Linked DNA regions of Schizosaccharomyces pombe. Changing the gene in region 3 together with the main gene of any one other region gives a genetic interaction. Each region holds a gene or a part of one and is shown on either strand. Other genes may lie near its edges. The genes, in order: ubc6, siw14 and alg8.

Evidence for each region.
Region 1: mutations in alg8 (region 3) and ubc6 together harm fitness more than expected from each alone (negative genetic interaction), as found in Schizosaccharomyces pombe (one large-scale study listed by BioGRID).
Region 2: mutations in alg8 (region 3) and siw14 together harm fitness more than expected from each alone (negative genetic interaction), as found in Schizosaccharomyces pombe (one large-scale study listed by BioGRID).

Annotation. Positions count from the first base shown.
Region 1 is NC_003424.3:1,214,149-1,217,558, forward strand, and holds ubc6 (ubiquitin conjugating enzyme Ubc6), read right to left. Parts: upstream 1,801-3,410; 5' UTR 1,781-1,800; coding exon 1,754-1,780; exon of another isoform or gene 1,714-1,753; coding exon 1,575-1,713; exon of another isoform or gene 1,491-1,574; coding exon 973-1,490; 3' UTR 640-972; downstream 1-639. Other genes in the region: RCC domain-containing protein Ats1, read left to right, coding at 1-633; RNA-binding protein Vip1, read left to right, coding at 3,023-3,410. UniProt on the Schizosaccharomyces pombe protein: Catalyzes the covalent attachment of ubiquitin to other proteins. Functions in degradation of misfolded or regulated proteins localized in the endoplasmic reticulum (ER) lumen or membrane via the ubiquitin-proteasome system.
Region 2 is NC_003423.3:1,403,293-1,407,519, forward strand, and holds siw14 (inositol pyrophosphatase Siw14), read right to left. Parts: upstream 2,441-4,227; 5' UTR 2,175-2,440; coding exon 1,682-2,174; exon of another isoform or gene 1,658-1,681; intron 1,551-1,657; coding exon 1,465-1,550; intron 1,404-1,464; coding exon 1,327-1,403; exon of another isoform or gene 1,276-1,326; coding exon 1,068-1,275; 3' UTR 684-1,067; downstream 1-683. Other genes in the region: protein aim19, read left to right, coding at 1-21, 63-77, 126-219, 279-298, 520-683; methionine--tRNA (Met) ligase Rar1, read right to left, coding at 4,116-4,227. UniProt on the Schizosaccharomyces pombe protein: Cleaves the beta-phosphate at the 1- and 5-position of soluble inositol pyrophosphates. Has exopolyphosphatase activity in vitro but does not appear to contribute to the homeostasis of cellular polyphosphate.
Region 3 is NC_003424.3:4,485,491-4,489,764, forward strand, and holds alg8 (dolichyl glucosyltransferase Alg8), read right to left. Parts: upstream 2,663-4,274; 5' UTR 2,578-2,662; coding exon 1,072-2,577; 3' UTR 654-1,071; downstream 1-653. Other genes in the region: endodeoxyribonuclease Pnu1, read right to left, coding at 1-106, 223-504; sorting and assembly machinery complex subunit Sam50, read right to left, coding at 3,294-4,274. UniProt on the Schizosaccharomyces pombe protein: Dolichyl pyrophosphate Glc1Man9GlcNAc2 alpha-1,3-glucosyltransferase that operates in the biosynthetic pathway of dolichol-linked oligosaccharides, the glycan precursors employed in protein asparagine (N)-glycosylation.

The DNA.
Region 1 (3,410 bases), 3.3 Mb from region 3:
GACGATAAAGAGTTCATTATTGATATCTCGGCTGGATTAAGACACTGGATTTGTGTTACAAATGAAGGGAACTTGTATGGTTGTGGAGATGGCCGCAAAGGACAACTTGGACCGGTAGTTATGAAAACAGTTAACAAGGTTTCATTTCTCGGGCGTATTGAACATGCTCAAGCTGTTGTATGTGGTGTACAGTTCAGTGCAGTATTGCAAGAAACAGGACATGTAATTGTTTTAGGAGGGGAGAAGTGGAATGTAGCAGCAGAATGTGATGCTTGGCAAGCAAATAACAGTGAATTGTCTTCTTCCATCTGCTCTATATCAGCAAACTGGTCTACCTTGAGTCTATTAAGTACTGAAGGCTGTGTCTATGCTTTTGGTCGTTGTGATCGTGCTCAGAAGGCCCATACAAAAGCAAGTGATATCGTCCAAATCGCCAGTGGAACTGAGCACAATATTTTAAGGACAAAGAAAGGAAGTGTTTTAATATACGGTTGGAATGAGCATGGAAATGCCTCGAATGATGATAAAAGAGATGTTTATGATGCAAAAACTCTTCAATTACCAGGCTGGGCCTATATTGTGGCCGCTGGATATGCAACGAGTTGGATAGTGATTGAAGAAAATCACAAATAATGAATTGAGTAACTAAAATTTAATTTTATTTTCTACCGAAATGTCGAAGCTTTAATAACATTTGACGACATTTAAAAAAATGTAGTTTAGTAAGCTAAAAATCAAGCAATTGCTAAGAGACAATTGTCTATAAAAAGAAACTAGAACAAAGATTAACTTCCATTTAGTTTTAATTGAAGCGCGACATGTGATGCAGAGATGAAGGGGCAACAGGCAACGAAAGAAAAAAAATAAACATATAAGGACGGCAAAGCGCTATTTGGCATTAATCTCTTTATCGGAGGATCAAATGCAAAAACGCTTTCATAAGTTAATAAAATAAATACAAAGCATAACATCTTAAGAATCAGCTCCAAAAAAACGAGCTAAAGCAAGGGCAAAAAACACCAAAACTGCTATGCTCCAGCGACTTTTAACCCAGCTTTGCTTTGAATTAAACGGTTCATTCTTCTTGCATTCATTGGAAGATACAGGAGTGGAGTGAATTTGTTGGGGTTCGATTAGGGCCGCTTCAGCAGCTGCTTTGGCAATGTCTTCCCTATTTTTGTCAATTAACTCGGGGAACATTATTAAGAATTTAGGATTATCCATAATGTTAAATCTCTTCGTATCCTTTGCGTAAGTTCTCCTGGTAGACTCCGAAGTTACAATACCTCCAGTGGTAATCTCATCAGAAGTCATGAAAGAAACGAGTCCCACCAGAATAGTAGAAACCATCCATGAGGGATTCCAGGATTTTGGATGGAAGTCAGAAAAAGAAAGACAAAGTCTGGTATTCGTTTGGAAACGTCCGCTTGGAGTAATCATGCGAATTGCAGGTGGCTTAAAAGGATAATCGGGAGGAAAAATCAATGTCCCTGTACGCAAAGTTAGCAAAGGATGGCAACAGCCAAAAGTTCATGCACATATTGATTACAGAAGGAAATTTAAAAGAAACATACCATGATATTGTCCTCCTTCATATGGAGTGTCCGGAGGGCCAGTGATAATATAATGCCATTCCAAAATGTTTTCAGTTGCAGGTTTAGCGTCAACAAGCTCAACAGGGTTTTTCTGAAGAGCTAGATATTCTTTCATTAACTAAAATAATTAGAAGAAGCTTAAAATTATAAATCCATACCCGTTTATAAGCACCTTTCGACGCCATCGTTGTGTTTGTGAAGTTTGTGGAAGTGAGAAAACATGTAACCATATAATCCGCTCACAGTTACATTACCAGGTTAGCGGCTAGTTAGGTGATTCTTGTCTTTTACAAATTCAAAGCACAATCTCTACTAGACTAAGTGTCTTTGTAGGTTAATCAATATAAAACACCAACAAACTCCGAGGTGAGGTGCCAACTTCAAGTACAACGGTTTATTCAAATCACCAATTCGTAAATATAACACAGTTACTTGTAAAAGAGGTTTTCATTTCTATCTTTTGTAGCAATATACCTATGATATTTATGATATTTTATTTTCTCTATACGCAGCTTAAGCCCAAATGTAAAATATAAATATTGTTAACCTATGTACATTGAGGAAGTAAGATCGAGAAAATAGATTAAAAAATGCTTTGAAGCAAGGAAAGCCTTTAACTTATCTTTGTTTTACTTATTGTAGGTCTAACATTTATATTTCTCTTGCCTTCTCAATATACCTGATAATTTTGCTCATTATTCAATAAGAAACAATTTGGATGACTAACATGAGAAAAGGAACAAGCGAGGTAATCTATTCATATATTTCTTTCGCATTCTTTAGAAAGACCGTAAAGGCGATCCAGCAAATTCGGTTTTCTAGAAACATCAGTTTTCACTGTCCGGATATGCCGATATCGGGAAAATTAATGTCGGTCCTAAGTTTATGAATTTATCGAAACATAGTAGAAGCGGAAATTACTTCGTAATAGCAATTTAATGGATATTTTTTCCACAATTTATGCACTTTGCCATGCAACGAACAAAGCCAACTAGTATACCAAGTCAAGAAATCATGAGTACAGCAAAGTATCTAAGTGTTATCCTATTTAGTTTACAGTGACCAATAAAAATTGTATCGTGATATTCAGATAAAAAGATAATTGTCATCTATTTTCAGCTTCATTTTGATTTAGGCTCACTTATCGCGATAATTGCAATCTTTTGAAAACACACGTTCATTAATGTAATATCAGATTTAAAGTATGAAGTAGTGGCATTAACAAAGCAGCACAAAGTCAACTTTCCGTGATATAGGCTAAGGGCAAGTTAGAAATGTCAGGAAATTTTGCATTTTTGTGGTTTTTTCGTTGGGCTCAATCTAATCGTAATTGGGAGGATGTCGTCATCGATGATCACTACTTAAAAGCAGCCTCCATGGCACTCAACGTACTTTGAATCTCCATATTACCAGTTGAAACAAAAGTAATGAGCAACCAAGTTATTGTAACGAACATCTCTCCTGAAGTTACTGAGAAACAAATCTCAGACTTCTTTTCTTTCTGCGGTAAAGTGTCCAACATCTCTACCGAGAAATCTGGAGAAACCCAAACCGCGAAAATCCAATTTGAACGCCCTAGCGCCACCAAGACGGCCTTACTTTTGCAAGATGCTCTCCTTGGACAAAACAAAATCCAAATCACCAGTGAAGATGGTGGTGCTGCTTCTACTACCGATCAAGGAGGTGCTGGAGGCGATCAAGCCGCTCGTCAAGAAGACAAGCCTCGTTCAGCTATAATCTCTGAACTTTTAAGTCGCGGATATCATTTGAGCGATGTAACTTTGGAAAAGAGTATTCAACTAGACCAAAGCTATG
Region 2 (4,227 bases), on a different chromosome or scaffold from region 3:
AAAGCTATATCCCTGCTTATGGTATGTGAATCAACTTCACAACGTGAACTAACTAAATTTAGCCTTTGGTGGTGCTTGTATGCGAAATTAATTAATTCAGTATTTAGCTAATTTCTATAAAACAGTAATTGCTTCTGTACCTAGAGCATTTAAACGACCCTATGGCGGTCCTTTCGTTCCTGGTTGTCTTTTGTGTGGTGGATTCAATGCTATAGGAGGGTATTTACAAATATACTTATTTCTTTTGTACTGTTCTATTTTACTAATTACTTTTTCAGTCTTGCAATTGCTAGTGGTGGTAAGTGATTTTGGTGACTAGTATTCCAATTCATTATATGTTGCCTTGGTAAAATACATAGGAATTTAAGGATAGACGTTTGATTTCAAATATTACTCCTCACGATCATTAAGCAGCTTTTATGAATGTGTTCAATTTCGTTTTAAAAAGTTTCAAGTCTTTGCAACTATTAGGATTGTTTTTCATTTGCTTTTCGCAATTTATTGACCTTACGAATATAGACTTAACCAACGGTTCAGGAATTTGTACAGCTTGGTCAATTGCCTATCTAATGATTAATGCTACCAAATCAATCAAATCTTTTCGACTATACCCAATTGCTCTAACTACATTCGCAACTGCCAACGCAGTCGGTTACGGGAAAACCTTCATGAATGAATATTAAAAAGTGATATATTATACGATATATACAACGTTGAACCTCAAAACCATTATTCCAAAAAAGAAGACGAAGAAAACGTGGTGGAAACACCACCGTATTTTCTTCAAATGTACAGTTACTTACTCCTATGAAATTCTGTAAAAATTCCTCGGATAGTAAATAGTACATATATATAAGCAAACAAGTTTATGAAAGAATTAAAAATTATAAAAGAAAATGTTATGTAGGAGGTAAATCCTAATTATGTACCATCTGGTAGCTATTAAGCATTTAAGCTATAACTAGGAAAAAGAACAAAATAGCGAAAGACATATATATATGGAACAGCCAAGTGATAAACACAAATAGAAAAAGTTGAAAAACAGGAATACTCTATAAGGCATTCAATTACGAACCGGGAGAACGACAAGTTTCATTCACAGTAGCAGCTTGCACTGTCGGAGACTCACTGGACAAAACGACATCAGCTAATTCTGAAGATGAATCACTAATATACCGTTTCAAATCATTGAGAGAAGACTTTAGAGATGGATCTGATGAAAAGTTCTGAATATATTCTTCGTCAACTTCACGTTCTTTGGGATGTGAAAAGGATCTTTATAGGTTAACAATTGATACGAAAACAATGAAATAAATGAAAACTTACATATATTCCTGTAAACGATTTCCGACTGGCCAATTCATCAATGCTCTTAGACAACCAATTACAATACCTGTGCGATGCTTAATGAATCGTTAGCAAAGCAATAATTAAGAAAATAATCTAAAGAAAAGAATAACCTACCTTTCCACGACTGCAATGGAGCAAAACAGGCCAATTTTCTTTATTTAAAAGAAGTTGTAAAGTTTTTCGTACAAGATCGTCAACGTCTAGCAAGCGGGTTAGCTAATCAAAGTAAAGTAATTAAAAAAAAACTTGAAACAAGGAATGAAGAATAATTAAAATATCTTTTTAATTTTTAAACAAAGTGTGCAACAAGTTAAGATGGTGGAAAGCTTACCTGAAATGTCGGGATTTGAGGAAGAGGAAATGCAATCGTTTTTCCGATGTTTGCTTCCAGGCATGGCAATATGATAATAATTAATGTGATGTTTAGTGAAGTAGTGGAGATCCTCTTCGGAATACTCTTCTTGTCTTAATGATATAATGGTACGGATGTGTAAGGATTCCAGGAAATTGAAATTAGAAGCACGTGGACATGCAGAACGATAAATAATTCCAGGATAAACGACCCCAAAATTATCTGGTACAAGCGGTGAATTGGAGAATGTCGAGGCATCGTTGGAAGTGTCAACTACCTTGATACCATCTTTATGGGCATTCAACTCTAAGCAACAAACTGGTTTTGCCTGTTCTTCCGAATTCACAGAATGACAATCGTTTAAACAACTGTCATGACTCGACACCTCGGGTATAGACATAGAAATTTGGTCCCTATCCGAAGTAATTGATATCAACTTCTTTTCAAGTTGGAATGGAAAAACAATGGCCATCAATCAACTACCCTCCCAAGCACATTCGAAAAATAAAGAAACCACTTAAAATGTTTCTCTAATTATGAACGATTGATGGTGCCACAACCTCAATTTGACTACTTAAGAAACTTCTAAACGATAGCGGTACCAGGACGACAAGCGTTAAGACCTGAACAGTAAATTGGAAATAAAGTACTATACAAAAATACTGATTTGGCAAATTTTGCCAAATGTATTACTTTTCTGAGGATATTGTAGATTCTTGGTGAGGTAAGGTATTTAGCAAATTAACCGGAGCCGATGAAGATGCACAAGTATACGGAAATTTACGGCATATTTATGTAAGCTAGAGAAGAGAGGGACGGTACACAGAAGCCAGAAATCTTTCACTGAATACTCTTATAAAATGCATTTTCACCTTCTTTTATTTGCGCGAGAATCCTATTAAAAACTACTATTCCATATGTCTTTTTTCAACCAAACATCTGGCACTGTAAGTCTAATCAGTAAGTCATAGATGCTAAATAGGAAGAATTATTCAATCCATAATAAAAAAAAACACTATAAAAGCTACAATCGAGTGCAAACAAACAATTCTTTTTCAATACAAAATAAATCGATATAATTTCCGCGACTTCAGTAAAATGCACTATATGAAGCCAATGATAGGATTCTGAGGCAATCTGTTAAGGAAAAAACGGTACCTCTTTAATATTATATTTTGATATGAAAGATACTATATTAGTACATAATCGTTCATATGTGAGTGTGAAAAATTGAGTAAACAAACCAGTAAAAAAAAAGGAATTATGAAAAAAAATTGGATAGAATTAAATACTGATACAGAAACAAGTATTAGAAGTTGAATAAAAGTTGGAAGCAACCGCATTGTTAACGAGTTGAATAATTTGATGTTTCAACTCTGCAATGTTAGGATACCAGTGATGCCGAGCAGCTCATCGAATTAAAACATAATCGAAATATTCATGTAAAATACTATTAATATACAATACAAATTACATTCATGAGTGATAATACATTTGGATTCGCAAATTCTTCGCAACATTATACAAAGAGTATGAGTATTCTTCTGTCTATAATTAGCACTATAAATTATTTTAACTTATACAGCAAATGTCTACGGCCATACCTAGGCGAAAACACCAGTTCCCGTCCGATCACTGCAGTTAAGCGTCTGAGGGCCTCGTTAGTACTATGGTTGGAGACAACATGGGAATCCGGGGTGCTGTAGGCTTCCTTTCATTACTGTATTCATTTTTTTTACATTACTTACACATGTTAGTGAACACAATGAAAGCAAACGTTTCTAAAATGTTTCAACAGACACGGCATGGTATATTAAACACCGGAATGTCAATTACATATGGTTTTTAAATTTGAGTTAATTCTTCTGTAAAAAGATAGTACCTACTTCTTTTTTTTATAGAAGAATGCCTACAAACACGTTTCTCATTGACCATAATAATTTTGCTATAATTGATGCTAACTAATATTGCCTTAAAATCTCCTTATAAACTCAAAAATACAAAGTAATCTTTTTAAATTGGCTGTTTTCTCAATTATGTATAATTTGGCCAACCTCGATCGACTCAGTAATTAAAATTAAAGCCGTAGTGAAGCTTTCTCATACTCTCCAATATGAAATTAATTATTGTGTGCGCTCACCCATCATTTTATTTACTATAAACAGCACCGTGGTGAACAGTTATAGTAGTACCAAAAAACGAATCTAATAATCTAACCCCTACAAAAGAAGTCTTCTACACTTTAATATACATTGGAAAAATGTTGCTCGCGACAGTGGTAATTATTTGTAGGTCCAATAAAACACCCTTTTTCCATGTACCCCAACAAGAATAACTTTTAAAAAAAGAAAAAAAAACGGTGTAGCAGATTTTCATTGATGGAAATAGAACCACTATTTTCACATTGGTTAAATTAGTTTGATCCATTACCACCATATTTGCTGCGCCATTCTTCTTCCATGGACTCATCAATGCGGGTAAATAAGTACTCAGGCTCGCCAATTCTATGTCCAGGAAGTAAGCAA
Region 3 (4,274 bases):
ACTTTGCTTGAAACATTTCAGGAATATTATCATCTGGAACGAACTCAGAGTACCTGCGATTGCCTTTGCGTTGGTTCAACGATTCTTGTGTAATGGTTTCCGCTGTCTAGTTTATTATTAATATAATGCACTCCGAGAGACCAGAAATTTAAACATTTAATCTATTGCCGTGATCTATAATTCCTAGGTAAAGAAAGCTTAGGAAACGGTGTTTTTGCTTACATAGAATGGATTTCGTGTTCTCCGATCGAACACAGACATATAGCCATGGTTTACCCTTTGGTCTGCCACTGGTCCTGGTATGCCGTATTGAAAAAATTTGGTGGCATTAAAATCATATATAGATTCTAAGGCTCGACCAGCAGAGTCAAATTTGGTATACCTGGGTGTCAAGTCTGGTACATCGGATCCTTGATATCCTTTATAATAAAAATGCGTGAAAGTTACACCCGAGATCGCTCCAATTGCTATTAATCCAAAAGATTTGATAAGATTACTAGACATATCGTCGATTGGGAATTAAAAGAAGTGGGAGTGTAGGTAAAGAGAAGATTGGAATATTCACTGCGTGTGAGTTTTTAAATAATTGGGAGTTATCGTTATGGCCAAGAAGAATATTAAAAATATATTGTTAAACATTAATTTTACGAGGTTTCTGAAGTAAGAAAAATTTAACTCTTTACGATTAATAATACAACATTAAATATAAAAGTCAATTAAGTGATTCATTTGTGGATGTTTAGAATGTATAATTCCAAATTCACGCTTATTATCAAGAAAAAGTGTTAGTAAATCTATTAATTTTAAAAATATATAATTCCAATTTTAGGAAACAACAGTATGTTAAAAAAAAAACGACTTTTTGACAGGGACTATTAATTTAAGAAAAACATCTACAGAGATCTAAGATTTCATCTACTGACAAAACATTTTGTTTATGGAACCAACACAACATGAAAATGACCTTGTATTTCCATTTCATCTGTGCTAAATCAAGCTTAAAAACAGAATCGCTTTTCTTATTCGAGTTGGAACCTTTGTTTTTTTATGGCACATCATAATATCATTATCTCATTTCAAATCGGTGAAATAAAGCCAGAGAAGACTAACGAAAGACCAGAAAATACCCCATGCAGCATAAGTACTTAAAAGCATTAAAGGTAAGAACTCAAATTTGTCACCCATAACCAACTTGTGAATAAAACAGTTATAAATGAAAAGAGGTACAAATCCTGAAATGTAAGCAATGTTTACTCTATTGAGTAAGAAAACTCTTTTAACTGGAACAGGCGCACATTTGTCAAAAGTTAATAACATAGCAATCCAAGCACCTGTAAACAAATATTTTATAGGGGCTTCATTAAGAGTAAATAATAAGGGAAGTAATGATAGGTAACCAGAAACCGCTAATGGACGAAATGCTTCCAAGTACCGACGGTCAATTAAAGACAATATGCTAAATGGCAGAATTACCATCAGAATAGCTTTCTCATGTACGTGCCAACCAAACAAAAAACTTATCCAACCACATAGAGTGACAGCTCCCACGAAAACCCGCCATGTGGGTTTAATAAAAAGTTTGATTAAAACAGTGATTTGAAGACCGAGACATATGTAAAATGTTAGTGCTGGGGGGATGTTTGGTAAAACAGCAAAAGAGCTTTCCCCAACCAAACCACGTGTAGGAGCATTTATTGACGTTCCCTGATTTAGTGCATAGCCAAAACGCGGCAGAACAGCAAAAGCAACACGATCAACAAAAGAGTACAAGGCCCAAAAATTAGGTGCCCAATAAGCATGACAAAGACCACGGGAAAAAGGAAACAATCTTGAGAGAAGTTGGGGTATTTGTTTCATGTAAATCCACGGTCCAAAGGCTAGTAAGAAAATACTAATTACTGTGCTACCAAGCTTTAATATGTTTAAAAACTGAGGGCGAAAGTTGGGAGTAAAGCAGTAAACACGTAATAAATATACAAAGTAAGCAGGTGCGACATAGAGGAATATATGTTTGAAACATATTAAAGCACTGAAGATCGCAGCTGATAATAACATATTTTTTTCTGGCTTTGCCAGCACGATAGACCAAAGTAATAAACCAAATAGAAAACCGTTATACTGAAAATGAATGTGATCAATAATGAGTAAACCTGGTGACAGAAATATATCAATTGCTGTTAGTAGAGCATTTCTTTGATCCTTCACATTTGATGATAGAACATATTCTCGCAACGCGAAAAGCAAAACCAATTCTAAAACGATAACAGATCCTCTTTGAAATACAACAGTGGATGGCGAAACGTAGTTCAAGTTATAAGGATCAAGCATCGCTTTGTCAAACCCGAAGAAGTATGCAATCCATGAAAGTACACATTCCATGTAAGCAAAAAATGGGGGGTAATCTAGCGTCCATTCTGAAATCGAAGATTTGTACCACTCCGATATCGGTAAGGAATGGGTGATGGCTAGCCAGTTTCGGTGGACTTCAAAATCAGTTGATCTGTATGATGGGAACAGAAATACCTTTACAAATGTGCTAGCGATCGCTGCATTGTAAAGCATAGAAAGTTTTCCCATTTCTATTGATTATTCATTCAAGTCAAACCAATGAGCTAAATGAAGTAAATGTTGAATGTCCTCCCAGTGACTGATTCGCAAAGTTGAGAGATGGAAGTAGTTGAAACGCACACTTTGAACTGACCCTACCCTCGTTAAACTTATATACCTCGTAACATTATTGTTGGGAAATTAAAGATTAATAAAGCATGTTATACGCGTGCTTGCAAACAATCGAAAGTTGGTAAGCATATTTTCCAATACCAAATTACTGCTGCATACAACTTAGGTTTGCATTTACTGGAAAGACTCCGAACCAAATATCTGAAACCCAAACATAAACTAATGCGCTTTTTCTAGCTAGCAAGACCTTCAAAGAAGGATTAAAGGCTCTTCTATCTCATTTTAAAGTCGTAGTTTATTTTTCGACTAATTGCAATTATTAATCTTCTTTTAATAATAAAAATACAAAAGATACTCTGATGTTATGTAACTATCTTCGTTTAAATTTATTCATATATGGTTATTGAAATTCTGTGAAATTCATAAATCTTGACCAAAAGCAAAATATTTGTATGACAATTATAAATATGCATGAAAATTTAATTCAAACGCAGTAAAAGCAATTGTCAACCGTAACATTCTTATCATTAGCATAAATGAGAGAAAAAGACAGACAAGTCAGAGATGGGAATAGTAGAGACCTTATTAAAGTAAAAAGTTAAAAAGGAAAATCATTACATGAAATCGATACCCGCGCCGAATTGCAGGCCTTTACGACCGATATCCTTTTCGGTAGTAGCGATTGGTAAGGTAAAGTTCAGCTCGAAACGCGCAGCGGGAGTTGCATAGACTAAACCTAAGCCTGTAGAGATACAAGGCTTAGAAAGTATTGATTTGTATGTGCCACATGGATTTGGAGAAGTCAAATTCGATAGCCCTCCAGCATTCGCAAACAACTGTAAGCGAAATGGTTTAGAAGCATCAACTTTTGGCAAAGGGAATAGCAAGCTCATGGAGAAAGCCATATATGCGGTCCCGCCTAAAGAATCCCTGCCATCTTTTGGACCTATACGGTCTTCTGAAAAACCACGAAGGCTAGTTGAACCGCCTAACATGAAACGATCACACAGACTGACTTGCTTCTTATTTAGACTATGCAATGCTCCAATCCGGGCGGACAAAGAAAGAGAAACAGACCTAGAAGAATTTAAAGCCACAGCTTTTTGACCCCAGAATTCTGATTTTAGAAAGCTCGCATCTCCTGGAAGAAATCCGAACCCAGCGAGCTCTAAAGTCTGCCTCACATAATCTCCCTTCGTGGGTATCATAAGATGATCGCGTGTATCGCGTGTATACGTATAGGAAAGAGATTGTTTTAATGAATCACCGGCCTCAAGTCGTACGCTTGGAGAAGCATATTCAGTGAGATGAGTAACTTGCCTCCACAATAAGTTTTGTGAAAGTAAATGCTCGCCAGACCACAGATCTTGATGCTGCAATGAAAGCGTAATTCCTTTAGTAAGTAAGTCATGGCTCGAAATAGATTTATTGTCTCTCAAGTTACTGTGGCCATTGAATCGTAAACGGGTTTTAGGATCTGCGTTTACTGGGGTCTCAAAGTTCACGGACATGGTAGACCGATTACGAGTTCCATATGAAACGTTACCAGAAAGAAGTTCAGCTCCTCCAAAAACATTTCTTGCAAGAACATTAGC